Macaca fascicularis: one gene and its partners. The protein of the gene in region 1 purifies or fractionates together with the protein of each later gene. This does not show direct contact. Links are inferred from orthologs where the notes say so. Each region holds a gene or a part of one and is shown in the gene's direction. Other genes may lie near its edges.

What was found. Proteins that work in one complex are often made in the same cells at the same time.
Region 2: the proteins of TP53RK (region 1) and GON7 purify together in Homo sapiens (affinity purification with mass spectrometry; 5 studies listed by BioGRID and IntAct, counting the BioPlex papers as one, with this or other methods). This does not show direct contact. The link is inferred for Macaca fascicularis from reciprocal best matches to the Homo sapiens genes TP53RK and GON7.
Region 3: the proteins of TP53RK (region 1) and NUP43 purify together in Homo sapiens (affinity purification with mass spectrometry; 3 studies listed by BioGRID and IntAct, counting the BioPlex papers as one, with this or other methods). This does not show direct contact. The link is inferred for Macaca fascicularis from reciprocal best matches to the Homo sapiens genes TP53RK and NUP43.

What each region holds. Positions count from the first base shown.
Region 1 is NC_088384.1:102,738,552-102,748,401, reverse strand, and holds TP53RK (EKC/KEOPS complex subunit TP53RK), read left to right. Parts: upstream 1-4,311; coding exon 4,312-4,594; exon of another isoform or gene 4,595-4,779; intron 4,780-6,747; coding exon 6,748-7,226; 3' UTR 7,227-9,581; downstream 9,582-9,850.
Region 2 is NC_088381.1:161,203,036-161,212,588, reverse strand, and holds GON7 (EKC/KEOPS complex subunit GON7), read left to right. Parts: upstream 1-3,398; 5' UTR 3,399-3,456; coding exon 3,457-3,664; intron 3,665-6,703; coding exon 6,704-6,798; 3' UTR 6,799-7,588; downstream 7,589-9,553. Other genes in the region: putative E3 ubiquitin-protein ligase UBR7, read right to left, coding at 126-186, 550-683, 3,053-3,202. UniProt on the Homo sapiens protein: Component of the EKC/KEOPS complex that is required for the formation of a threonylcarbamoyl group on adenosine at position 37 (t(6)A37) in tRNAs that read codons beginning with adenine.
Region 3 is NC_088378.1:57,729,723-57,739,498, reverse strand, and holds the start of NUP43 (nucleoporin Nup43), read left to right. Parts: upstream 1-3,621; 5' UTR 3,622-3,655; coding exon 3,656-3,775; intron 3,776-4,091; coding exon 4,092-4,214; intron 4,215-6,434; coding exon 6,435-6,512; intron 6,513-7,565; coding exon 7,566-7,746; intron 7,747-9,776. Other genes in the region: PCMT1 (protein-L-isoaspartate(D-aspartate) O-methyltransferase), read right to left, coding at 1-111. UniProt on the Homo sapiens protein: Component of the Nup107-160 subcomplex of the nuclear pore complex (NPC). The Nup107-160 subcomplex is required for the assembly of a functional NPC.

The sequences.
Region 1 (9,850 bases):
AGGATTGACTGCTTGAGCCCCAGGAGGTTGCACCACTGCACTGCAGCCTGGGCAACAGAGCAAGATCCTGTCTCAGTTAAAATAAAAATAAAAAAATAAAATAAAACTGGATCATTCCCTCCGACCCCACTCTACTACCCATAGGGTAACCATATATTGTATCATCCAAAATTGGATGCTTTTGAGAGTAAAGAGGGGACACTAGGCTGGGTGTGGTGGCTCATGCCTATAATCCCAGCATTTTGGGAGGCCGAGGCAGGCAGATCACCTGAGGTCAGGAGTTCAAGACCAGTCTATCCAACACGGTGAAACCCCATCTCTACTAAAAATACAAACAAATTAGTTGGGCATGCTGGCATACACCTGTAGTCCCAGCTACTCAGGAGGCTGAGGCCCGAGAATCACTTGAACCCGGGAGGTTGAGGTTGCAGTGAGCCAAGATCATGCTACTGCACTCCAGCCTGGAAAACAGAGTGAGATTCCATCTCAAAAAAAAAAAAGGCAGGGGCACTAATGATAGTTATTCCAGGGTAACAGGTAAAAACTAGGGCTGTCCCTGGCAAGCCCAGATGCAGGTCATCTTTCCCATCCCCCTTCCCCACTTGATTTATCTCCTGCTAGCCCCTGTCAACGACACATTTTCCTTATGTGTTTATTGTCAGTTTCTACCCACTAGAAAATAAACTCCATGGAGGCACTAATAATGATTCTCTATTTTCTTTACAGCTCTGTCCTCAGGGCCTAGCACAGTGCCTGGCCTATAGTAGTTACTCAATAAATATTTACTAAATGAATTAGTGAATAAATGAATGAATGGGCATCTGGTGCTGATGGGTGGGAAGTGAGGAAGAGGCCATAGATTCTCTTTCAGGCTCAGAAAGGGCTAAAAAGTAGAAGCCTCCCTCCCCTTTACTGCTTGGCTGTTCTACCCAGAGCTCAGCTGCATATTTGGCAGCCAGAGGTCAAGGCCTCAAAGGGCCATGCTTGGTGCAGTCACCCCAGGCTCACAGCACCTCTCTTCCAGCAAGAAAAATCCTCTGGGACCAGGCCACTGTCCTTGTTCTTTCAGCTCCCTGCCTGTCCCCAGTGCCAACTTGCTCCAGCCATGTGGAGCTGCTGGTTCTTGTCCAACCCAACTGTACCCTGTGTCTGTTCTCGCTGCCTGGAACCTGAGCACCCTCCCACTCCACCCTCTGACTGAGCTTTCCAGCACCTGAAAAACTCAGTGAAGATGAAGATATGAGAAAATGAGACATGAGTTTGACTGAAGCATAAATAGGCACAAAACTTTGGGAGGGTAGTTTGGCTGAGGTGTTGAGTTTCAAAGTGCTTGTCACCTACAACCCAGTGATATCACTTGGATAAGCCTGCTCCTGCAGCACTGTTTATGAGACAAAAAAAAAAAAAAAGAAACAAAACTGGAGGAGTAACGTTGTTAAAATGTCCTACAGATTCCATGTAATTCCTATCAACATTCCAATGACATTTCTTGTAGAAGTAAAAAATTCTAGAATTTATATAGAATCAGAATAGACTCCATATAGTCAAAGCCATCTTGAGCAAAAAGAACAAAGCTGGAGGCATCACATTACCTGACTTCAAAATATACTACAAAATTATAGGAATCAAAACAGCATGCCACCAGCATAAAAACAGGCACATAGACCAATGGAACAGAATACAGAGCCCAGAAATAAATCCACACACTTATAGTCAATTGATTTTCATCAAAAATGCCAAGAACACATAATGGAGAAAGGACAGTCTTTTCTATAAATGGTGTTGGGACAACTGGATATTCATGTGAAAGAAATTAGACCCTTATCTTATATCATATGCAAAAATCAACTCAAAATGGATTAGACTTTAGTCTAATGTAACAGCCAAAACCATAAAACTCTTATAAGAAAACAGGGACAAAATGCCATGGCATTGGTCTGAGCAATGATTTTTTGTGTATGACCCTCAAAACACAGGCAGCAAAAGTGAAAATAGACAAATGGAATTGCATCAAACTAAAATGCTTCTGACCAGTCAAGAAAAAAGAAAAAAGAGTGAAAAGACAAACTACTGAAAGGGAGAAAATGTTTGCAAACCATACATCTGATAAGGGGTTAATATCCAAATATATAAGGAATCCAATCCAATAGTAAGAAAGGACAAAACCTGAATTAAAAGTGGGCAAAAGATCAAAAGAAATATTTCCCAAAAGAAGACATAAAAATGGACGACGGGTATATTTTAAAAATGCTCAACATCACTAATCATCAGAGAAATGCAAATTAAACCCACAATGAGATATCACCTCTGACCTGTTAGAATGGCTATGATAAAACATAAGAAAGATAAAAAGTGTTGGCAAGGACGTGGAGAAAAGGGAATCCTTGCACCCTGTTAATAGGAATGTAAATTAGTACAGACATTATGGAAAACAGTATGGAGGTTCTTCAAAAAATTAAAAATAGAACTACCTTATGATCCAGCAACCCTACTACTGGGTACATATCCAAAGGAAACAAAATCAGTATATTGAAGAGATGTCTGCACTCCCATGTTAATTGCAGCATCATTCGCAATTCTCAGTCTAAGTGTCCATCAATAAATGAATGGATACAAATATGGTACATTTATATACATAATGGAATACTACTACTCAGCCTTTAAAAAGAATGGAATGCTGTCATTTACAGCAATATGGATGGAACTGGAGGACATTGTGTTAAATGAAATAAGCCAGGCACAGAAAGACAAATATCCCATGATCTCATTTGTATGAGGAAGGTAAGAAAAGTTGAACTCATGCAAGCAGAGTAGAATGGTGGTTACCAGGCGCTGGGGCAGGAGGAGGGAGATTGGGAGGATTTTGAGATGTTAGTCAAAGGACACAAAATTTCAGTTAGGAGGAAACATTCATGAAATCTATTGCACAACATGGTGACTATAGATATAACAATGTGTTGTATTCTTGAAAAATGTGCTAAGATAATAGATTTTAAGTGTCCTCATCCCCAAAATGATGAGTATGTTAGGTAACATTAACTAGCTGGATTTAGCCACTCCACAATGTACACATATTTCAAAACATGTTGCTCATGATAAATACGTACAATTTTTAATTTCCCTTATGTACCTCTTCATCTGGCTGTTCATTTTTTATCTTTTATACTATCTTTTATAATAAACTGGCAATAGTAAGTAAAGTGTTTTTCTGAAAAACAACAAACTGGAAACAACTGCTTAGCAACAAGAAACTGCCTGACCAAGTAGAAGGATGTGGTAGTTCTGTATGTACTGATATGGAATATAGTCCGAGATAAATTGTTTAGGAAAATGAAATGCAAGTTGCAAAAGAACCCACAGTATGATGTCATTTATGTTGGAAAAAAGGCCACAATGATGTGTGAGTGTGCGCACTGAATAAAAGAAAGTTCTGGAAAGAAACTAACGGCCAGCGGTGTCACAAGGAGGATGGGCAGTTTATTTATATGTGTGTGTGCGCGCAAAGTTCCGTATTGTAAGAATTTGCTACAGCCTGTGTTATTAGCTTTGTAATGAAACAGGTAGAAACTGAAAAAGTTTAATTCCTCCCAATTCAGTTTAGGTTCTGTCTCCGGAAAACTTTCCTGGATTCCCCAGCCCCCACTCCCCGCCCCATCCCACCACCCCCACTGCCCTCTCTGAGTCTCAATTTTCTTTTCTGTAAGGATTTTCATCATTTAATCTTATTTCTTCTGAATGCACTAAATGGTAGTTATCCTAGCACTTAAGAGGATGTCGGAAACACGGTTCATTGTCTGACCCTTCCGACACTGACTAGTATGAGTACATTCTGGGGGGAATTTAGGAGTCAGGGGAAGAGGTGTTCCAAAAAGACACTACTAGAGGGTGCACCTGTCCAGGAGGAGACTCCTTAAGTGAGCAAAGAGCGTCCGACGTTTTTCTCGAGAGGAGCTGAAGTTCTCCGGAAAGAGACGACCAACTGGGAGGTGATCTCCCAAAACCGGTTGCGGGAATCACCGAAGATTTCCGGAGAGCCAAGGAGTAGGGAAGAGCCACTTACCGAGAGTTGCCGAACGTGTACGGAGATAGCCGAAGAGGTGAAAGGCGGGGCCACAGGAGCCCTTCCTGCAGGGAACCCAAGGCTTCAGAGAGCCGAAAGGTTGGGAGGCGTAACCACTCACAGGCCGGAAGTGTCCGGGGCGGAAGCGTTCGGGTAACCGAAGAAGTACCAGGATTTCCGAAGCGAGCCGAAGCATCGCGACAGTTTTCAGAGAGAGCGGGTCGGTCGGAGCTGTACCGCCGAGCACAGTCATGGCGGCGGCCAGACCTGCTGCCCCGGACGATGGCGAGGAGCCCGCGCCAGAGGCTGAGGCTCTGGCCGCGGCCCGGGAGCGAAGCAGCCGCTTCTTGAGAGGCCTGGAGCTGGTGAAGCAGGGCGCCGAGGCGCGCGTGTTCCGCGGCCGCTTCCAGGGCCGCGCGGCGGTGATAAAGCACCGCTTCCCCAAGGGCTACCGGCACCCGGCGCTGGAGGCGCGGCTTGGCCGGCGGCGGACGGTGCAGGAAGCGCGAGCTCTCCTCCGCTGCCGCCGCGCGGGTAAGGAGGGCCCGGATCCTGGCGTGGGCGGCCCCGAGGCTCTAGGGCCTGGGCGGGTGAGGGACTCTCCTGCGCTCCGAGCCACGGTTTGCCTCAGTTTCTCCTTCTGTGCCTTCTGCCGTGGCCAGCCTTTCGGAAATGTTATTCTTTCATCCCTTTCTTCATTCGTTAAGTCTTAAGAAACCACGTGGCCTTGCAGCGTCAAGCGTTTGTCCTGGGGCCGTTCTGCCAGGTTCAAATCTGGACGCTGTCATTATTGCTCAACGTCGAACATCTTTAACTTCCCTGAGCCTTGATTTCCCCATTTGACTCGTTTCAATTTTCGATCATTATCTTTTCATTTATTAGTTTTAAGAAACATGTAATTACAAGTACTTGCCCCACTGGAGCCAGGCTGTCTGGGTTGAAATACTAACTCTGCTGCTTATGTAGCCTTTCAACAAGTTATTTAGCCTCTCACCTTCGGTTTTTTCACCTGTAAAATGGGAGACATAGTAGCAATATCCATGTCATAGGGATGTTGTGACCATTAGAGGAGGTCTGTGTGCAGTGTATTATGTTCGAATGTGTGCCTGGCACATAGTGCTCAGTAAGTGTTGGATTTCATTAAATTGCCTATTTATTGTGCGCCAGCGCCATAAACCTTGTCCTCAGTTGAGAAAGTGACACTCAGAGAGAAGTAACTTGCCCAAGGTTACACGGCTACTAAGTGGCCGGTCCAGGCCCTCAGCTCCGTATGCCTCTGACTCAGAAGTACTGGCTTTTTAATTTTACGCTTCGTGCCTTTCTTTTATTAGTATTTTTTAGGTACTTGTGGGTGCCAGGACATTGTTAAGTGCTGGGAGATCTAGCAAGGGGGGACATTCAGTAGCCAACAAGCAGACACATTGCTGCCCTTTCAGAGACTGAAGATTTCACGAACTTATTTGTGTGTTCATATTTCTGTTTTCAGCCTCTTATGATATGTTTCGTTAAGCAGAGATTGTATTATAGCTGGCTTGTTTATTGCTGTATCCCCATTGATACATCTCTCAGTTTCTAGAAAAGTATACTGAGCCTGGTTGACTTTCAGTAAAAATTCATTTGAGTTTATTGTAGCAGAAACTGAGACTTAGAGAAGTTAATGTAATTTTTTTTTTTTTTTTGAGACGGAGTCTCGCTCTGTCCCCCAGGCTGTAGTGCAGTGGCCAATCTCGGCTCACTGCAAGCTCCACCTCCAGGGTTCACGCCATTCTCCTGCCTCAGCCTCCAGAATAGCTGGAACTATAGGCGCCTGCCACCACGCCTGGCTAATATTTTGTATTTTTGGTAGAGACGGGGTTTCACCATGTTAGCCAGCATGGTCTCGATCTCCTGACCTCGTGATCCACCTGCCTTGGCCGAGAAGTTAATGTAATTTTAAGATTAGATTAGACAACTAATAAGAAAAGGAGCTGGGATTTGAACCCTGTCCTCTCTGACTGTGAAGATGAACCTCGAAGCCAGCACACTGCTTGGCCTCCTGTTTGTGTCCTCATCAGTAGAAACTGCTCTGACTGGGCTGTGCCTTGCTGTTTGTTTTTGTATTTTGAGACAGTGTCTCACTTTGTCACCCAGGCTGGAGTGCTGCAGTGGCGCAATCTCGGCTTACTGCAACCTCTACCCCCTGAGTTTGAGCTATTCTCCTGCCTCAGCCTCCCGAGTAGCTGGGACTACGGGTGCATACCACCACGCTCTGCTAATTTTTGTATTTTTAGTAGAGATGGGGTTTCACCCTGTTGGCCAGGCTGGTCTCGAACTTCTGACCTCTAGTGATCCGCCTGCCTCGGCCTCCCAAAGTGCTGGGATTACAGGCATGAGCCACCACACCCAGCCTTTGTTTTGTTTGTTTTTTAGAGAGTGAGTGTGACAAATGAAGTTCAGTGAGAAAGGGTGGTTTGGAAGGGAGGAGGAAGCTATGGCCTCCTCAGTTTAGCTGTGGGGTGGTCCCAGGTATAGTCCTGCAGGGGGCAGGAGCAGGGGAATATTCCATTCAGTTGTACCATTCCCTGTAGCATTCCTAAATCATCCTGAAATAAGTAGATATAGATGGAAAAACTGGCTTAATCTTTGAAAATTAAGTTTATCCATTAAAAAAAAATCCAACCCAATAACCACTTATGTCTTGATTTCAGGAATATCTGCCCCAGTTGTCTTTTTTGTGGACTATGCTTCCAACTGCTTATATATGGAAGAAATTGAAGGCTCAGTGACTGTTCGAGATTATATTCAGTCTACTATGGAGACTGAAAAAACTCCCCAAAGTCTCTCCAACTTAGCCAAGACAATTGGGCAGGTTTTGGCTCGAATGCACGATGAAGACCTCATTCATGGTGATCTCACCACCTCCAACATGCTCCTGAAACCCCCCCTGGAACAGCTGAACATTGTCCTCATAGACTTTGGGCTGAGCTTCATTTCGGCACTTCCAGAGGATAAGGGAGTAGACCTCTATGTCCTGGAGAAGGCCTTCCTCAGTACCCATCCCAACACTGAAACTGTATTTGAAGCCTTTTTGAAGAGCTACTCCACCTCCTCCAAAAAGGCCAGGCCAGTGCTAAAAAAATTAGATGAAGTGCGCCTGAGAGGAAGAAAGAGGACCATGGTTGGGTAGGAAAATGTGTATGACAGCCACACACAGTGAAGCTCTTTTTTCAAAGTAAATTTGAAGAAATACTAAAAGTATGAGATGAGATCTAAGTAAAGGTGTTAAGATATTTTTAAGTGGTGTGTGATCGTGCCTGTGGTGTCATTATCATCTGCACTTCACTCTACTCAAGAGCTTATTATGTGTCTGAGTCATGTTCTAGGCAGAACTGGGTATTTAAATCTAGGACAGGCTTCTCCCAGATTGTGACATGTATGTCTCAGTTATATGGGTGTGGCATTGAACCACATAATGAGAATGTTACTCTCTTTTTAGTCCTTGTGAGACAAGGATGAAGTCTCAGTGATGCTCACTGAGCTTACTGGCCCTCTAACCCAGTGTTTTTTTTGTTGTGTACATGATATATTTATTTTGAAACCAGTTTAATGGGATACAACCAGCATTTTTTAAAATGAAATAGAATTGCAGCATAGAAAATATCAATGTATTGTTTTATGAAACTTTCACATGTATATGTAGACAAGGATATGTACTGAGTTTTGATGTCAAATATATTTCTCTTTCAGGGTCATGATCAAAAAATGAAAAATCTGCTTAACTCCAATTTCTCTTTTAAAAAAGCAGACTTACAGCTTTCAGGCAACTGAAATTCATGTTAACATTGTTTTTATTTTTATTGTTTTGTATTTTTGTGGTTACCTTCTAAGACAAGTGATTGATATAAAGTTCCTTTTAAGTTTATACAGGTAAGCAAACTGAGTTGATTTCTGTCACAGGCAATGAGTAGGTAGAGCAAAAATGATGAAGTGACTTGTGAAGACTGAAGTTTGATGAAGTCTGGTTTAAGGTACAGATAAGCTGAGTGTGGATGCAAAGGTACCAGGAGCTAGCTTTTAACCTTGCCCAGCCTCAATTTCTTTTCTTAGAAGAAGCTGTGTGTGGGTGGGAAGGGAACGGATGTATAATAAAATACCTTTCTTCCTTGTAAACTCCAATCAACAAACATATTTTGAGTACCTTTTATGTTCCTTGGCACCCTGTTGGGTGTTGGGTACAATGGTGAGCCAGACAGACATAGCGCCTGTTCTTTTGTAAGAAAATTTATTTTTATAAAAAATTATAAAGTAGTGTGATGTTTTGATACACATTATGAAATGATGACTACACCCGAGCTAATTAACACCCATCACCTCACATAGTTACTTTCTTGTTTCTTAATATAGACATTTACAGCTATGAATTTCTCTCTGCACACTTTTCATCACACACTCTCAGTTTTGGTATTTTGTGTTTTTGTTTTCATTAATCTCGAAGTATTTTCTAATTTCCCTTGTGATTTCTTTTTTGACCACTTGATTGTTTAGAAATCTGTTAATTTCCACACATTTGTGAATGTTCCAGTTTTTCTTTTGTTACTCATTCCTAGCTTCATTCCGTTGTGTTGAGAGATGATACAGTCAGTGCCTGTTCTTATGAAGCAAACATTCTGTAATAGTAGGACCAGTACCCTGTTTGTTTCGTTCATCACAGTCAGCACTCCCCCAGTGTCCAGCATGGGGTGGATGGCCAGGAATGGTGAAAACTCCCTTCCTGGGTAGTTGTGACTCGTAGAGAGGAAAAACAGTATCATTGCCTGTTTACTGCATGTCAGGCATTGGGCTGGGAATTTTTATATTGGATCTAAAATAACTCTTAAGTTAAGCGTTGTCCCCATTTTATAGATGGAGAAACTGGCACCAAAAGGTGGGAACTTGTCCTAGACGTCACAGGTAGCCAAAGGTACTTTTACTTGGCTCCAAATCTGTGTTCTTTCCACTGACAAAAGAGATATGGGATATGGTGCGTCTTCACAGTACTATAAGAAGTATTGGCATATAACATTATTTTCAAGGAACTCCAAGGACCACAGGAGCTGACAAGTTTTTCAATTAATATTCCCAACATGAATGAGATGCCTCATTCCTCAGTTTCCTCACATGTACTATAAGGCTAGTACCTACTTTGTGGGGTATGGTTGGCTTATGTGCATTAAATCAACAAAGCCCTAGTTGATATGGTTTGACTGTGTTCCCACCCAAATCTTATCTTGAATTGTTCCTGTAACCCCCACGTGACACGGGAGAGACCTAGTGGGAGGTAATTTAATCCTGGGGGCGGCTACCTCCATGCAGTTCTCGTGATAGTGAGTGAGTTCTCATGAGATCTGATGGTTTTATAAGGGGCTTTTCCCTCTTTTTGGCACTTCCTGCTGCCATGTGAAGAATGATGTGTTTGTTTCCCCATCCGCCATGATTGTAAGTTTCCCGAGGCATCCCCAGCCATGCTCAACTGTGAGTAATTAAACTTCTCCTTTATAAATTACCCGGTCTCGGGTATGTCTTTATTAGCAGCGTGAGTAATACACTAGTACTCACTATGTGCCAGGCACTGGAGATCTAATAGAGGGGAACATGAAGTTTACTTTCCTGGGGAACGTAAAATAAGGCAGTTTCAGACAGTGATGAGTGAAGAGGTGAAGGAAAACCAGAAACACGGGAGATGAAGGGAGTATATCCCAGGCAGGCTGTGGCGTGCGAAGTTGGTGAGGAAGGAACATCCCCGACAGCAAGGCCAGTGTGGCTGGCATCAGT
Region 2 (9,553 bases), on another chromosome or scaffold:
CCATCTGCAAAGAATAAGCATAAGAACTTCTTTTTTGGAAAATATAGGTATTTGTTTTTTACCCCCTCTGGCAAATATTAACCCCAGCTGCTCTAACTGCATTTATAGTTACAGTGTTTACTTACAGGAAGTAATTTGCATTCCAAAGTTTTAAACTTGCTGTTTCCACAATCACAACGAAAATTTCTGAAAAAAGGAGGAAATAACAATTTTATTTTTCTTTTTACAAAATCCAATTTAAAATTTCTTCAAGCATTCAAGCACATAAGACTTCACAATTCTGGAAATTAATATGTACAGAAGCAAATATTTATATCACATACACACAAACACACACAAGTAAAATGATGGTAGAGAAAGATGAGTAGTTTGAGTTTGTACCATATTATGTTTTTAAAGGCTCTGGAAACTCCAATTATATAAAATAATTACATGAAATTTCACTACTGTACAACAGCTTTGCATGAAAAAACATGATAAGGAAAAAGTGTAGATGGGACAGAATCTACACTTCAAAAGCATTTAGTAACAATCTCTGACTATGTTTACCTTTTTGTGTATAGCTCAAATAGTTTGTGACTTCCATGACATTCATAACTGCAAGCTAAACAAATTCCTGCTGGTTCTTCTCCCTCTGGGGTGCAGGTACTACAGGCATATAGTGCTTGCCTCTTTACTGAGCCCTAAAAGCCCCCAAAATGGAAAAGAGAATTAATGTAATAGCATGGCTTACCTAATACCCACACTAGGAACTGAAAAATAATTAAAATCAGATTATCTGTGGTCAAGATCTTTCTGTAAAAACCATTAAGACTAAAAAGTTTACACAGCAGAGCATCAACCAAAACACAGTTGTGTTGCATGTTTCATTTTTATACTAGTGCTTTTCATGCAAGCACTTTTTTCTTTCTTCCTAATTTATTTATTTTTTGCAGAGACGAGGTCTTGCTATGTTGCCCAGGCTTGTCTCAAACTCCTGGGCTCAAGCAGTTCTCTGCCTTGGCCTTCCAAAGTTCTGGGATTACAAGCATTAGCCATGACACAAGTCAGCACTCCTTTCTTAAAGTGATAGGATGTCTGAATTTGTCAGTCGGCTGTGAATAAATGAATCTGTTTAATCATTTTAACAGGTGAAAACACAGGAGCATATGTATAGGTTTATGTAAGTAATATCACACTTTCATCCTGGAAAATGTTTGTAAATCCACCAAAGAGAGAATCAACACATGCAAAGAATCTCTTTGATTTTTAGGAGATGCATGCTGAAGTATTTAGAGGTATAGTGTCATCATGTCTGCAACTTATTTTTAAATAGTTCAAAATTTTAAAACAACAAATTTTAAGTAGAAAAGGAGATAAATGTGACAAAATGTTAAAAAGTGAATATGTAGGCTGGGTGCAGTGCTCACGCCTGTAATCCCAGCCCTTTGGGAGGCCAAGGTGGGCAGATCACCTCAGGTCACGAGTTCAAGACCAGCCTGGTCAGCGTGGTGAAACCCCATCTCTAAAAAACCCCATCTACTAAAAATATAAAAATTAGCTGGCCGTGGTGGCGGGCATCTGTAATCCCAGCTACTCGGGAGGCTGAGACAGGAGAATCGCTTGAACCCGGGAGGTGGAGGTTGCGGTGAGCCAAGATCATGACATTGCACTCCAGCCTGGGTGGCAAGAGTGAAATTCCATCTCAAAAAAAAAAAAAAAAAGTGAATATGTATAATAGGTATAGTTACCTTCCTCTAGGAAGGAGGAAGAATAGACAAGGAGGCTTCCGGGATGCCAGTAAAATTCTATTTCTTTCTTTTCTCTTTTTTTTTAAGTTCTTTTCCAATAAGCCTTTTGCACTCCTAATGTTCTATTTGTTGATCTGGGTGGTGGGAACATGCACACTTTCCTTTCAAGCTGTGTACATGATTTGTGCAAATTTCCATATTTTTTTTTTACCACAATAAAAAGAAAACATTAAGGGAATCCATTTTATAAAGGTAACTACACTTCAAAAATAGTTTACATACAGACTTAGAACTTTTTTTTTTTTTTTTAAGGAAAGCAGGCGAAAAATTGTTTTAGTGGTGACCAAAGGTTTTAAAGTACCTGGGGCTATGTCTGGATACCAGGTTTATTCAACAATCTAGCACTTTGCAGTGTAAACTAAACTTGGTCAACAACGAGAACTGGTATTATGACCTCAGTTCATACCACATAATGAATGCAAGTCTCTCCTCTCATCTCCCCAGTGTTCCAATCCACCCCTCTGCCTCGGTAACCCTTCTTCCTGCCAGTTCTTATCCTTTGTCAGTCTTCTTCCTACCCATCCTTTTCCATTTTTGTGCCTCGAAGTATAGGGTGAGTCACTAAACACATCACACCCCCTCAAACACTTGCTCACTCACAACGTCTTCCAAATGCCAAATAGATCCTTTTCTCCTCTCTCCCCTCCCCTGCCAGAGCCACTTGCTGTTCTGTTTCCGGTCTATTTCCAGGGGAGGAGGGCAGACTGCAGACAGACATGGGTACTTGCTCCATTTTGCCAAAAAAAGAAAGAAAAAGTACTAGCTAGCACTTGTCAAACTAAATTGCAGAGGAACTAGCTGTCAAGGAGCTCACCGCAAATCCCTATGGATTTGAAAATCTCTTTAACCTGACGTCTCCCATTTGGTCCCTAATAAATAAATAAATAATCTTAGGATGGGAAAAGCAGGGACAAAGATGTCTGGATCTGAGAGGTCGCGGGCTGGTTTCGTGAAAAGCAGTGGTGCACCAGGACGAGGCTGGAGAGGACGGACAGAGCAGCTGCTCCAGGGTCCTTCCTGGCTGGCCGGACAGAGTTAGAGAGAGGGGAGATGGGGGCCCCTGCTGGACACAGGCTGAAGGGGGCCCAGGAGGTTGGGGATAAAAGGGAAGGGTGGGCTTGGGGTAAGGAAGCGGCAGACTAACGGCGGCCCCGGACCACCACTGGGGAGACGACTGCGGCAGGCGGGAATAGGGACAGCCGGGCCGGGAAGGGGAGGTTCGGCGGGAGCCGCGGGAGACAAGGCCCGGGCCGCGTGCCCACCTGCGAGTAGGAGCACTTCTCGGAGTCGCTGCCGCCCAGGACAGCACACGCCTCATTCTCCAGCTCCTCGTCCTCCTCGAGGACGTCGACCAACGATACCACGGGCTCCAGCTCCGACTGCCGCCCAGCGGAGCCCTCGGCTCCGGCCATCCTCAACTGTCACCCGAACCGCGGCTCGGCCCCGGCGGAGGCGGGAAAAGCGGCCACGAGGGGCGTAGCCGGAGGAGGCGGGGCCCGAGTGCCAGGAACCAATGACAAGGAAAAAAGGCGAAGGAAGGGGGAGGAGCGACTTCCGACAAACGGATGTCACTCCTCTCCCTTCTGCCGCCTGCGCAGGCCACGGGCTGATTTCCGCCTCCGGGTGGCGCTTCCCGGTGTCGTGTTCTGGAAGCTTAGTGGTCACCATGGAGCTGCTGGGAGAGTATGTCGGGCAGGAAGGGAAGCCGCAGAAGCTGCGGGTGTCCTGTGAGGCGCCGGGTGACGGCGACCCTTTCCAGGGCCTATTGTCTGGCGTGGCCCAGATGAAGGAGCTGGTAACGGAATTATTCGGCCCCCTGGTACAGGCGGAAGTGCAGCACCGGGTGGCGGCGGCTCCAGACGAGGCCCTGGACGGTGAGCTCTGAGACGGTGCTGCAGCGACAGGAGGACGGGGCGGGAGCCAGGGGAAATTGGCTTGGGGAGCCCGTGTAGAGTGGCAGACTTGGACAAAGTGAGCCTCGAGGAAAGAAGAATTGCATCTAAAAATTTTTGGCGGGCCAGGCGAAGTGGGGCTCACTCCTGTAATCCCAACACTTTGGGAGGGCGAGGCAGGAGGATCACTTGAGGTCAGGAGTTCCAGAACAGCCAGGGCAACATATCGAGACCCCGTTTCCATTGTTATTTCAAAGATAATTTAAAAAATAAAAATTGTTGGCATTTATCACTATATTTGGGCTGCTTCTACTCAAACATTTCCACGACTCATCGCTATTTCATTTATTTCACTAAAAAACTTGCCGAATGCCTACTACTATTTGCCAAACCCTGAGCTGAGCCCTGGAGGAAGAATGAGGTCAATGCGACTCAGTTCCTGCCCTTGTGAAACACAAGGGGATTATACAGGCAGACACTCTTATTAAAAGTGAAAGTGGCCAGGCTGGTAGCTCACGCCTGTAATCCCAGCACTTTGGGAGGCTGAGGCGAGCGGATCACGAGGTCAGGAGTTCGAGACCAGCCTGGCCAATATGGTGAAACCCTGTCTCTACTAAAAATACAAAAATTAGCTGGGAGTGGTGGCGGGCACCTGTAATCCCAGCTACTGGGGAGGCTGAGGCAGAAGAATCGCTTGACCCCGGGAGGCGGAAGTTGCAGTGAGCCGAGATCGTGCCACTGCACTCCAGCCTGGACTACAGAGCGAGACTCCGTCTCAAAAAAAAAAAAAAAAGAACGTGGTTCTATGGCCCTCTGTAAGTGTTGCAAACCCAGAGACCCTCGGAAGGCTTCAAAGAGGATAAGACTTTTGAGCTGGAGTATTGAATAAAAAGGAGTTTTATCAGGTGTGAAACTACAGACATATTTGGAAGAGTACAATCTATCGCAGAGTAGGAACAGGTTCCAAGGAGTGGGACAGACTTAATTTTAACATGTATTAACTCCTAGAGACTCCCTTGCCTTTCCAGTTTTGTAGGTGCAGTTTGAAAGTAGAAACGTGAAGTTTAACTGCATTATTTTTTAAAAATTGCCTCGAATGCAGAAATAGGCAGGTACTTTTTTTTTTTTTGAAATGGAGTCTAGCTCTGTTGCCCAGGCTGGAGTGCAGTGGCACAATCTCGGCTCACTGCAACCTCTGCTTCCCGGGTTCAAGTGATTCTCCTGTCTCAGCCTCCCAAGTAGCTGAGATTACAGGCGCCCGCCACCACTCCCAGCTAGTTTTTGTATTTTCAGTAGAGACAGGGTTTCACTGTGTTGGCCGGGCTGGTCTCGAACTCCTAACCTCGTGATCCACCTGCCTTGGCCTCCCAAAGTGCTGGAATTACAAGCCTGAGCTGCTGCACCTGGCCAGGCAGGTACATTTTAACTGTCCTGAGCTGAAAAATCCAAGAATAGATATTAGAGTTAGGATTTACAATTCTCTAAGAAGAGCTTAAACTGTACTTTCCTTCCATCTTGGGAATTACATCTTGATAATATGGATGTTGGCTATGATCAAAAAGAACAATAACAAGTGTTGGCTGGAATGTGGAGAAATTGGAGATCTTGTACATTGTTGGTGGAAATGTAAAACAGTGTAACCACTGGGAAAAAGAGTTTGGTAGCTCCTCAAAAAGTTGATATGAAGTTACCACATGACCCAGCAGTTCCACTGGTAGTCCTCGCAAGAGAACTGGAAAGTATGTTCACACAAAAACTTACACATGAATGTTCATAGCAGCAGCATTTATAGTGACTAAAATGTGGAAACAACAATTGACCGGGCTTGGTGTTGCACCTTTAGGAGGTGGGAGGATCACGTGAACCCAAGAGTTTGAAGCTGCAGTGGGCTGATTGTTCCACTGCACTCCAGCCTGGAGGACAGAGTGAGGCCCCATCGCTTCATCTCTAAAAATAATGATAATTTTAAAAAATAGAAATAATGCAAATATCCATCAACTGATGAGTGCATTAACAAAATGTGGTGTATCCATACAATGGAATATTATTAGCAATAAAAGGTAATGAAGTATTAATACGTGCTACAACATGAATGAACCTTGAAAACATTATGCTACAGTGAGAGCCAGACACAGAAGGGTACATGTTATATGATTTTGTTTATATGAATGTACAGAATAGGCAAATCCATAGAGAGAGATTAGTGAGCTGGGTGCAGTGGTGGGCACCTGTAGTCCCAGCTACTCTAGAGGCTGACACAGGAGGATCACTTGAACCTGGGAGTTTGAGTCTAGCCTGGGCAACATAGCAAGACCCTCTCACTAATAAAAATTAAGGGGGAACAAAAGTAGATTAGTGGTTGCCGAAGGCTGAGGGAAAGTGACTGCTAATGGGCATAATTCATTTCTCTTTGGAGTGATGAAAGTGTTCTAGGATTAGAGAGTGGTGATGGTTGCACAATCTAGTGAATATACTAAAAACCACTAAGCGGTACACTTTTAAAAGTGGATTTTGGCCGGCTACAGTGGTTCATGCCTGTAATCCCAGCAGTTTGGGAGGCCAAGGCATGCAGATCACGAGGTCGGGAGATCGAGACCATCTTGGCCAACATGGTGAAACGCTGTCTCTACTAAAATACAAAAAATTAGCCGGGCATGGTAGCGCGTGCCTGTAATCCCAGCTACTTGGGAGGCTGAGACGGGAATCACTTGAACCCTGGAGGCAGAGGTTGCAGTAAGCTGAGATCGCGCCACTACACTCCAGCCTGGTAACAGAGAAAGACTCCATCTCAAAAAAAAAAAGAGACTGGATTTTATGATGAATGAGTTAATATTTCCAAAGAGGAAAGTGATAGAAAATAAAGATTTTAAACACTGAAATTCTCAAAATCATTTTAATCTAAAATGTGCATGGTTTTATTAATCTCTAAAGTGAAATGGTCTCGTTATCAACCACTTTAGCTATATATATTTCTTTCAACCATAGAACGTATTGTCATACAACAAATATTTATTTTAAAAGGTGATGATGAAGATGATGCCGAAGATGAAAATAACATTGATAACAGAACTAACTTCGATGGACCATCTGCAAAACGGCCAAAACCACCATCTTAACAATAGCCTTTATGACATTTAAAAGATGGCTGTTGTATCCCAATTGTCACACTAGGACATTTAAGGAAGACTTATGCTCTAATTTGGAAAAGCATTTGTGTTGTTTTCCTGGGACAATTTTGCCAAAGAGAAAACTGGTTTTTCTGTTTCTAGCAAAGACAGTAAAGGCTTAGAAATAAAATCTGTTTTCTTGAGAAATAAATTTCAGACCGTGGGAGGAAAATAGAACACTTCATAATATATAAAATCCTCTTAAGTTGGCAACTGAATTTTTATCATTGTTTTCTATTTTTAAAATAACCATTGGTTTGTGTGATGTCTACATCTTTTAACTTCTGCTTCTGTTATAAACAGTACGTCATGGTTCATAGGCAGTAACATTTCAGAGAACTGACATGAACAAGTGGTGAAAAGTGGGCATTAAATGTAAAAATAACAGTTCTTCATAAATAGAAGGAAAATGAGGAAATAGAAATACTGAAGAGAGAGTCCTTGAAAGAGACCCAAGGAAACCCTGAATTCATACCCATGTCAAAGATACAGATATCCTGAGATGATGCCGCTTGATGAATGTGCATTAATCTGATTTATCATGTACCTTAAGAGAGCCAGATGGGGTAGGGTATGCTTTTGTGCTGTGATATAGTATGTATACAGGTACAAATGGAAGGCCTTAAGTAAATAATCTGCGTTGATTACAATTTGGATATTTCCTCTCCTCCTGTAGCCATGCTTTGATTTAGCTTTAAAAAGATTATTGAATCCTTTAAAAATATATATTCCTAAAGTATGTATGTGTGTGTTTCTTTTCTGCTTGTCAGTGGGACTAAGGCATGTTTATTCACTATGCATCCTTCCTGATGTAGATAGCTTCAATGCAAAGAAATCAAGTAGCATGTACCTAGTAAAATACAAATAGTCATGGGATTTTAGAGTTGAAAGTAACTTTACAAACTATGTGATTTATTTCACAGATAAATCTCAGGATAAGTATTTGCCCTCAGATTACAGAGTACTGGGTTACATAAATAGCCTTTAGGTTTTTTTTAAGCTGATAAAAGGTGAGAGAAATCATTAATCAACTTTTTTTTTCTTTTTTTTTTTTTGAGACAGAGTTTCACTCTTGTTGCCCAGGCTGGAGTGTATTGGTGCGATCTTGCTCACTGCAACCTCTGCCTCCCGGGTTCAAGCAATTCTTCTGCCTCAGCCTCCCAAGTAGCTGAAATTACAGGCATGTGCATTTTAGACAGGGTTTCACTCTGTCACTAAGGCTGCAGTGCAGTGGCACGATCTTGGCTCACTGTCACTGCAACCTCCGCATCCCAGGCTCAGGTGATCCTCCCACCTCAACCTCTCAAATAGCTGGGACCACAGGCATGCACCAGCACATCCAGCTAATTTTTTTGTATTCTTTGTAGAGATGGTTTCACCACATTGCCCAGGCTGGTCTAGAGCTCCTGGACTCAAGGGATCTGCCCACCTCAGCTTCCCAAAGTGCTGGGATTACAGGCAAGAGCCCACCATGCCTGGCCTAATCAACTTTTTTTTTTTTTTTTTTTTTTTAAAGACTAAGTCTGGCTCTGTCGCCCAGGCTGGAGTGCAGTGGCCGGATCTCAGCTCACTGCAAGCTCCGCCTCCCAGGTTTACGCCATTCTCCTGCCTCAGCCTCCCGAGTAGCTGGGACTACAGGCGCCCGCCACCTCGCCCGGCTAGTTTTTTGTATTTTTTAGTAGAGACGGGGTTTCACGGGGTTAACCGGGATGGTCTCGATCTCCTGACCTCGTGATCCGCCCGTCTCGGCCTCCCAAAGTGCTGGGATTACAGGCTTGAGCCACCGCGCCCGGCCTAATCAACTTTTATGAATCACTTTTATTATGAAATAATTTAATTTTCATATCATTGAAAATCTATATACCTTTTCATATCATTGAAACACTGTTTTACTTTGGAACAGCAGCCTTCCACTAAGTACTCTTGGGCAATCAAACAATGCCAACTAGAAAAAGTTATAGATCGTCAGAAATTATCTGTTTAGTTTATGCTGATGTTTCTAATATTTAGCTGTTATTTATTATAGTACTGTTATCTCTATACAATCATTAAAGAAAAAACTGGTTGGGTGCAGTGACTGATACTTACAATCCCAGCACTTTGGGAGGCCAAGGCGGGCGGATCACCTGAGGTCGAGAGTTTGAGACCAGCCTGACCAACATGGAGAAACCCCATCTCTACTAAAAATACAAAACTAGCCTGGTGTGGTGGCGCATGCCTGTAATCCCAGCTACTTGGGAGGCTGAGGCAGGAGAATAGCTTGAACCTGGGAGGCAGAAGTTGCAGTGAGCCGATCGTGCCATTGCATTCCAGCCTGGGCAACAAGAACGAAACTCCATCTCAAAAAAGAAAAAAACTTACCTGTATATACGGAAAATAGATCACATTGTTAAATTGATATCTGAACCTTTTCTCTGAACATTTTATGTTTCCTTTGGAAAATGTGGGTATAAAGAAGAAATTTCAAGATAATATTTGTGTTTGTGGCCCAGTGTTTTTAGATTCTGATTTATAAGATTGGTCTTTTAATTAATTTTAATACTGATTTCAATTCTAATACTGTCTTCTTTGTAAGAAAGCCACATGTTTGACAAAGATGGGCCAGTATAGAAGAAATGCTTTGCCAGGTTTTCTAATCTGCTGCTGCGCTTGGGTGTCACTGTCACTCAGGCTGGAGTACAGTGGCACACTCAGCTTACTGGAA
Region 3 (9,776 bases), on another chromosome or scaffold:
TCCCAAGAGTGAGACCACCTCCCACACCGTCACCGCCCCGCTCGCGTCCCCGCTGTAGCTGCCGCTGTTACTGCCGTCGCCGCTGCTGCCGCCACTGCGCGCTCCCGGCATCCCCCGCGGCACGCATGCGCTCTGTGACGCCGCGCGGCCTAGGGTGCGGCCGGGTGGGGCCGAGGGCGGGGGAAGCGTGTGGCCCAGCTGCCCGCGCGTGTGGCTGCTGTGGCTGCTGCGGCTGCCAGGGGGACTGCAGGGAGGCCAGGCTGAGTCAGCGCCACCGCCGCTGCTGCGTGTCCCTTTCTGAGGCCTCGAACCGCACCGACTTCGCCCTGCGGCCGGGCTCCGTAGCCTGATCAGTCGCGTTCCCGGCTGCGTCTCCGGTCACCGAGCGGGACGGCGGGATGGCGGGGTCGATCTTTGCAGACGCTCCTTGTGGTTCCGCAGTCGCTGCTGGGTCAGCTGTTTCGAGCGGCGGATCTCCTCCTATAGATGTCCAGATTGTTAGACGGTGGGCTTCATCCGTTCCTACCTCGCCCAACCCAGTTGACTGGTATTTGGGTCTGTGGAGCCCGAATAACACAATAAGAATAAAACCCAACGACAAAGGCCCTCTCTAACCCGAGTACACCGGCCTCTGGCTTTGTGACAAACATGTCACCGTTAGGCTAAGCAAAGACTTTGGAACCCTGGTTCTAAAGCTGTCAGGGAGTGGAAGAATACCAGGACATGGGGGTGGGGGTTGGGGCAAAGCTTTGCTCCCTTAGAATAATACGAACGTAAAGAATTGCGATTGGTTAAAAAATACCACTGTGTCCGCTGGTGAACGTGTTATTCTCCCGACAAAAGTGTGCATTTCCACCTAATTAAGCCTCACAAATTCCACCATAGCTTTATTGCTATCAGCTCTGCAAGACCATGAGTGAGAAGCTCACTGAGAACATTGCTTGTCGCGTCCAAATCGCTGACTCGTAATTTGACCTGAGACTGACAGAATCCAGCCATCACTTAGTCCAGTAATCTTTTTTTTTTTCTTTCTTTTTTTTTTTTTTTGAGACAGAGTCTCGCTCTGTCGCCCAGGCTGGAGTGCAGTGGCGCGATCTCGGCTCACTGCAAGCTCCGCCTCCCGGGTTCAGCCTCCTGAGTAGCTGAGACTACAGGCGCCCGCCACCACGCCCGGCTAATTTTTTGTATTTTTAGTAGAGACGGGGTTTCACCGTGTTAGCCAGGATGGTCTCGATCTCCTGACCTCGGGATCTGCCCTCGTCCGCCTCCCCAAGTGCTGGGATTACAGGCGTAAGCCATTGCGCCCGGCCTCCAGTAATCTGTTGGAAGGAAACAAGGCTAAGACATCTGTGCTACTATGTCAGCACAATTTTCAAATTCTAGTTCTTACCCGATTTTGTAAAATGTGACACTGGCCTGTTTCCCATCCAAAATCGTCACTACCTATTTTCTGGGATTCTGTGACCATAAATGAAACTACTGACAAAACTGGGTTTTTTGTTTTTGTTTTTGTTTTTTGAGACGGAGTCTCGCTCAGTAGCCCAGGCTGGAATGCAGTGGCACGATCTTGGCTCACTGCAACCTCCGCCTCCCAGGTCCGCGTTCAAGGAATTCTGCCGCAGCCTCCCGGGTAGCTGGAATTACAGGCACGACCACCATGCCCAGCTAATTTTTTTGTATTTTTAGTAGTAGAGTTTCACCATGTTGGCCAGGCTGGTCTTGAACTCCTGACCTCGTGATCTGCCTGCCTCGATCTCCCAAAGTGCTGGAATTACAGGCATGAGCCACCGTGCCCAGCCAAAACAGTGTTCTTTACTTCAATATTAAACATGAATAAATTGTTGATTTGGGACTGTAACCCACTTAATATTTTCCATTTCATCTTTTCTACAGTTTCTTGATGATCTTCCATTTGGTGAAAAGAAAAAAGTCAAATCCTTGATAGGAACCTGATAACTCTAAAGCTGAGCCAGACGGATTGCATTTACATGCAGTGCTTCCCTAAACTGTCCCTGTGAAGTAGGACTACCAATATCACATAAAAACAACAATAGCATAATGGCCCTTTTTAAAGAAACAACCAACATACAGTTATGAATACCTGTAGTATTAAAGAGGTTCATTTTTTAGATAAGTCATACCTCTTGTATTCAGTAGGATTTACATTCTTTTTTTATTCTTTTTTTTTTGAGACGGAGTCTAATTCTGTCGCCCAGGCTAGAGTGCAGTGGCTGGATCTCAGCTCACTGCAAGCTCCGCCTCCCGGGTTCACGCCATTCTCCTGCCTCAGCCTCCCGAGTAGCTGGGACTACAGGCGCCCGCCACCTCGCCCGGCTAGTTTTTTGTATTTTTTTAGTAGAGACGGAGTTTCACCGGGTTAGCCAGGATGGTCTCCATCTCCTGACCTCATGATCCGCCCGTCTCGGCCTCCCAAAATGCTGGGATTACAGGCTTGAGCCACCGCGCCCGGCCGGATTTACATTCTAATTAGGGAGGAATATGCATCTTAAGAAAACTAACGATAGAATATATCCAAAATATATGTAATAGTGGCCTAGATATCAAATGCAAGCTCACGCCTGTAATCCCAGCACTTTGGGAGGACAAGGCAGGCGGATCACCTGAGGTCAGGAGTTCGAGACCAGCCTGGCCAATATGGTAAAATCCCGTCTCTACCAAAAAAAAAAAAAAATAGCCAGGCATGGTGACACGCACCTGTAGTCCCAGCTACCCTGGAAGCTGAGGTGAGAGAATCACTTTAATCTGGGAGGCGGAGGTTGCAGTGAGCTGAGATTGTGCCACTGCACTTCAACCTGGGCCACAGAGTGAGACCCTGTCTTCAAAAAGAAAAAAAGCGATGTTGATTTAGATCAACATTGGCTGGGGGCATCAGGAAATGGTTAAGGAAAGAACAGATCCTTGAAGGATAGGCAGGATTCTGAGGAGTAAAGAGGAAGGGAAGAATATTATAGGTGTAACCAAAAGCACAGAAGGAACCTAGAAAACTGATTCCTGGGCTATTGACAATAGATATCACAAACCTCATTCTTAATCATGCACATAATTAAATTGACCAAAGCTAGGCAATTGGCATCAAAACTAAAACTGGAGTCTTTCAGAATTCTAACTCCAGGCTCTGACAGTGTGTATTAACTTTCAAGCAAAGTATTTGTTTGGGGGACAAGAGGGAGAGGTTTAGGATAGTAGGTTGGCACTGTATTCGAGGTACTTCCATGAGTATTTAAGGATTTTTGAATTGTTTTCTATGCGCAGTGACCTGCAACTGCTTAGGTGTGGTTTCAAGGTGGTTTCTACTGTATTGATTTTGTTCTATTTTTGCTCTTAAATTTTACACTGCACAATTATTGAACACAAGAAAATACTGATATTTTAGATTAGGAGCAAGTCCTACTGCTCAAAGGCCAAAGCGCTCTTGCCTTTGCTCAGAGTCGCTCTAGGAGATGGGCCTCTCGGTCTAGGTTCTCCCAGTTTGTATACTGACCGTGCCCACACTGGCTACCGAAGAGAATTGACTCTCTGCAGCCACCGTCTCCCTCCTAAAGTCCCATCCAATCAGGGTTCCGCGGGAAGAGGCGGGGCTGAGAGGCGCGCGTTGTGCTTGCTTTTTGCAGTGCCTGCTGCGGCTGCTTTCGGCATGGAGGAAATTTATGCGAAGTTTGTGTCTCAGAAAATCAGCAAAACCCGCTGGCGACCGCTGCCTCCCGGAAGTTTGCAAACCGCGGAGACGTTTGCTACCGGATCTTGGGACAATGAGGTATCCCTGCTGATAGGGACGAGCCCCTGCCTCTTCCCTCCCTCCGGTTGAGCTGACCCCTGGCCGCGCGCGCGCCAACTCCCACCTTCTGGTTTTTCTCGCACTTCTAGGTCCCTCGGACCCTGTCTCAGGCGCGGTTGCGCCATAGCTCAGAACCCGTGATGGTGTGCCTGAGCCTCATATCTCGTTACGTTTTAAACTCACCATACTATTTGTCTGAGATGTTTTGGAGCAAGCTTTCTGGACGGAAGCGCAACTTTTATTTTCCGATAGTTGACGTTTATGTCATCTCAAGACAAAACTCTTTGTTTTACAGGAAAATTATGTTTCACTGTGGTCTATTGGAGATTTTGGAAACTTGGACTCTGATGGAGGGTTTGAAGGAGACCATCAATTATTGTGTGATATCAGACACCATGGTGATGTCATGGATTTACAGGTAAATCTGTGTAGCATCCAAAAGCTAACTTTGAAAGTCCTGAGTAATACATTTAAACAAGCAGAGCATCATAAAGGTTGTCTTGTATCACCCCTCATTTACAAAAAACTGAGTGCTCTGTAAGTTATGATTTGGCCGACATCATTTAGCCATTTAGTGGCAGAAAAAGGACTGGGAAAGGGGATGTAGATTTAATCATACTTTTTTATTTATTGACCGTCGACTATGTGCTAAGTACCGTTTGGGGAGCTTTACAAAAATTAATTATTATTGGTTGCCGGTATATCAAGTATTGTTACTTTGTTTTACTAATGAGAAAATTGAGACTAACATATCTTAAGCATGTACTATGTGACAGATACTGTGCAGGGGGATTAACATCATTTTGTTTTTTGAATTCTCATGACAACTCCCTAAGCAGAGATTAGTGCTCCCGTTTTAAAGATTTACCACGATTTAGTGAACTTAACTTGGCCAAAGTCTCAAAACCAGTAGTGAGTGGTGGGGATGAAATTGAGCTTTCTTTTTTTCTTTTTTTTTTTTTTTGAGGTGAAGTCTCACTCTGTCTCCCCGGCTGGAGTACAGTGGCATGATCTCGGCTCACTACAGCCTCCACTTCCCGGATTCAAGCGATTCTCCTGCCTCAGCCTCCCAGGTAGCTGGGACTACAGGCACAGGCCACCACACCCGGCTAATTGTTTGTATTTTTAGTAGAGACGGGGTTTCACCATATTAACCAGGATGGTCTTGAACTCCTGATCTCGGCCTCCCAAAGTGCTGGGATTGCAGGAGTGAGCCACTGTGCCTGGCCGAAATTAAGTTTTCAAATCCTGGTGTGGAGAGCCCCTGCATTTTATTCTATAGAAAGCTACCTAGCCCTGGTGTACGCCTGTAATCCTAGCTACTCGGGAAGCTGAGGCAGGAGAATTGCTTGAACCTGGGCGCAGAGGTTACAGTAAGCTGAGTGCACGCCAGTCTGGGCAACAAGAGCGAAACACTGTCCCAAAAAAAAAAAAGAAAGAAAAAGAGACAGAGAGAAGAAAGAGAAGAAAGCTATCTAGCCCTAGGAAAGATCTTTTTTTTTTTTTTTTTTTGAGACGGAGTCTCACACTGTCACCTGAGCTGGAGTGCAGTGGCACGATCTCAGCTCACTGCAACCTCTGCCTCCTGGGTTCATGCAGTTCTTCTGCCTCAGCGTTGAGTAACTGGGACAACAGGCATATGCCTCCATGCCTGGCTAATTTTTGTGTTTTTAGTAGAGATGGGGTTTCACTATGTTGGCCAGGCTGGTCTTGAACTCCTGACCTCGTGGTTCACCCGGCTTGGCCTCCTGAAGTGCTAGGATTACAGGCGTGAGCCACCATGCCAGGACAATATTTTTCCTTTCTTTTTTTCTTTTTTTTTTTTTTTGAGATGGAGTCTTGCTCTGTCGCCCAAGCTGGAGTGGTGCAGTGGCACTATCTCGGCTCACTGCAACCCTGCCTTCTGGGTTCAAGCGATTCTTCTGCCTCAGCCTGCTGAGTAGCTGGGAGTACAGGCACCTGCCACCACGCCCAGCTAATTTTTGTGTTTTTAGTAGAGACGGGGTTTCAACATATTGGCCAGGCTGGTCTCAAACTCCTGGCCTCGTGATCTGCCTGCTTCAGCCTCCCAAAGTGCTGGGATTACAGGCATGAGCCACCGCGCCTGGCTTTTCTTTTTAAAAATTTTTATTCTGTTTTTGAAACTGAGTCTTGCTCTGTCAACCAGGCCGGAATGCAGGGGCTCGATCTTGGCTCGCTGCAAGCTCCGCTTCCCCACAACCCCGACTCATTTTTGTATTTTCGTAGAGACGAGGTCTCGCCACATTGCCCAGGGTGGTCTTGAACTCCTGAACTCAAGCGATCTGTCCGCCTAGGCCTCTCAAAGTGCTGGGATTACAGGCGTGAGCCACCGCACCCAGCCAGGAATGGTATTTTTCTAACGTTTTATTGTGTTGGTCTCAAATTAAATCAATGGCGGGTAAATGTGTCTAGGAAAAAAATACTGTTTATTCATGAAAATGCTTTGTATGGCAGTTTGGACTTTCAGCTCCATTAACACATGTTATTTGCTTAGCACTCATAGGCTCTTTGCTTTTTAAAATTGTTATCATTTGCTACTAATTGAGTTAAATAAATGAATAGATTTCCTCCCTGCTAGTATTTCTGAGTCTTTAACAAGCAGAAATTTTCTCTTTAGTTTTTTGACCAGGAAAGAATTGTCACTGCTTCATCAACAGGATGTGTAACAGTTTTCCTTCACCATCCGAATAACCAGGTAAAGAACTTCAGTTTGAAAAGTGATTTTTTTTTTTTTTTGGAGATGGAGTTCTGCTCTTTTTGCCCAGGCACTGGAGTGCAATGGCACAATCTCGGCTCATCACAAGCTCCGCCTTCCAGCTTCAAGTGATTCTCCTGCCTCAGCCTCCCAAGTAGCTGGGATTACAGGCATGTGACACCATGCCCGGCTAATTTTATATTTTTCGTAGAGACGGGGTTTCTCCATGTTGGTCAGGCTGATCTCGAACTCCTGACCTCAGGTGATCAGCCCTCTTCACCCTCCCAAAGTGCTGGGATTATAGGCATAAGCCACTGCTCCCGGCCAAAGGTAACGTTTCTAATAGACATGCCTAGTAAATATAAGACCCAGTTCGTGTTAAAGGTTTTTTGAGTCATTTAGAAAAAGCTACAGAGATTAATATTTTTTTAATTAATTAATTTATTTATTTTGAGACAGAGTCTCTCTCTGTCGCCCAGGCTGGAGTGCAGTGGCACGATCTCTGCTCACTGCAGCCTGCACCTCCCTGGTTCAAGCAATTCTCCCACCTTAGCTTCCCAAGTAGCTGGGATTACAGGTGTGTGCCACCATACCTGGCTAATTTTTGTATTTTTAGTAGAGATGGGATTTCACCATATTGACCAGGCTGGTCTCGAACTCCTGACCTCAGATGATCTGCCTGCCTTGGCCTCCCAAAGTGCTAGGATTACAGGCATGAGCCACAGCCATGGGCCAGAGATTTATATTTTAGATGTAGGTTAATTTCCATAAGAATACAAAGAGTTGCTTTTGAACATCCAACTGCTTGATCCCTAAAAGTCATTACTGTAGTTTGAGATAAATGTGGGGCATTATTAAACAGTATTTCTTTTGAATCTAATTCTATGTATACAGAACTTTGATGCAAGTAGTTTCTAGATTTCATTATTCTAAAGGAAAAAAGATTTATTCTTGTAGAAGGATGTGAGTCAGAATTTAAAGATACTCTTGTTGGTAAGAAGTGCTAGTTCCTTAGTACTTTTCTTTAATAGTATCCTCATTTCTGATGCCTAGACTCTGTCAGTCAACCAGCAGTGGACTACAGCTCACTACCACGCAGGCCCTGGCAGTCCTTCCTATAGCAGTGCACCATGTACAGGTGTTGTGTGCAATAACCCAGAAATCGTTACAGTTGGAGAGGATGGTCGAATAAATCTCTTCAGAGCTGATCACAAGGAAGCTGTAAGAACCATAGGTAAGAAAAATCCCAGCCTGGCCAACATGGCAAAACCTTGTCTCTATTAAAAATACAAAAGTTAGGCTGGGTGTGGTGGCTCACCCTGGCAATCGCAGCACTTTGGGAGGCGGATCACCTGAGGTTGGGAGTCCAAGACCAGCCTGACCAACATGGAGAAACACTCTCTCTATTAAAAATACAAAATTAGCCGGGAATGGTGGCACATGCCTGTAATCCCAGCTACTTGGGAGGCTGAGGCAGGAGAATCACTTGAACCCGGGAGGCAGAGGTTGCAGTGAGCAGATTGTGACATTGCACTCCAGCCTGGGCAATAAGAGTGAAACTCTGTCTCAAAAAAAAAAAAAAAGAAAAGAAAAGTGAGCCAGGCATGGTGGCGCATGCTTGTAATCCCAGCTACTCAGGAGGCTGAGGCGGGAGAATCACTTGAACCTGAGAGGCGGAGGTTGCGGTGAGCTGTGATGGCACTCTACTCCCACCTGGGTGACAGAGGGAGACTCCATCTCAAAAAAAGAAAAATCATTGTATTCCTTTCATTCATCACAGAGTAATTGAGTGCTTACCATATACTAAGTAAACACTGCCAGGCATGATGGCTCATGCCTGTTACCCCAGCACTTTGGGAGGCCAAGGCAGGCGGATCACAAGGTCGAGAGATTGTGATCATCCTGGCCAACATCGTGAAAGTCTGTCTCTACTAAACATAACAAAAATTAGCTGGGTGTGGTGGCATGCGCCTGTAGTCCCAGCTACTCAGGAGGCTGAGGCAGAAGAAGCGCTTGAACCTGGGAGGTAGAGGTTGCAGTGAGCCAAGATTACACCACTGCACGCTAGCCTGGCGACGAAGCAAGACTCCATCTCAAAAATAAAAGTAAACACAATGAGCCGGGCGCGGTGGCTCACGCCTGTAATCACAATACTTTGGGAGGCCGAGGCGGGCGGATCACAAGATCAGGAGATTGAGACTATCCTGGCTAACATGATGAAACCCCGTCTCTACTAAAAATACAAAAAATTAGCCTGGCATAGTGTCGACAGTTGTCTGTAGTCCCAGCTACTCTGGAGGCTGAGGCAGGAGAATGGCATGAACCTAGGAGGCAGAGCTTGCAGTGAATCGAGATCGCACCACTGCACTCCAGCCTGGGCGACAGAGCGAGACCCCGTCTCAAAAAAAAAAGTAAACACAATGTTAAGTGATTGAGGGATATAAAAATATATGGCTGGTAGCAGTGGCTCATGCCTATAATCCCAGCACATTAGGAAACCAAGGCAAGCAGATCATTTGAGGCCAAGAGTTTGAGACCAGCCTGGCCAACATGGCAAAACCCTGTCTCTACTGAAAGTACAAACATTAGCTGGGCATGGTGGCACACGCCTGTAATCCCAGCTGCTTGGGAGGCTAAGTCATGAGAATTACTTGAACGTGAGAGACTGAGAGGCTGCATTGAGCCAAGATCACGCCACTGCACTCCAGCCTGGGTGACAGAGCAAGACTCAGTCTCAAAAAAATACATGTACACATGCACACACATGCACGCACGGCAGGATCCCTTTGTCAAGAGAGTAGGTTGATGAGGCCAGTACGAATGACTGACTAGAAGAAACAGAAACCATTTTTTTTTTTTTTTTGGCGAGAGGGCATTATCAGATAAAGCATCTGGGAGTAGGTAGTAATTAATAGTTTTTCTGGGTTCTAGACCATAAGTAAGACTGAAAGATGGCGTGCTAGACAAAGGGAATAGGCCAGAGGCAGGATAAAGACATTCAGAGAATGACAAAAAGTATGGTTTGACCTGACTTTAGATATCTATGTAGGAGAGATGAAAGATGAAGCAAGAGAGGGGTAAACTGGGGCCAGATTGCAGAGTCTGTAATGCAAAATCACAGAGGTTTCATCTTTTTTTTTTTTTTTTTTTTTTTTGAGACGGAGTCTTGCTCTGTCACCCAGGCTGGAGTGCAGTGGCCAGATCTCGGCTCACTGCAAGCTCCGCCTCCCGGGTTCACTCCATTCTCCTGCCTCAGCCTCCCGA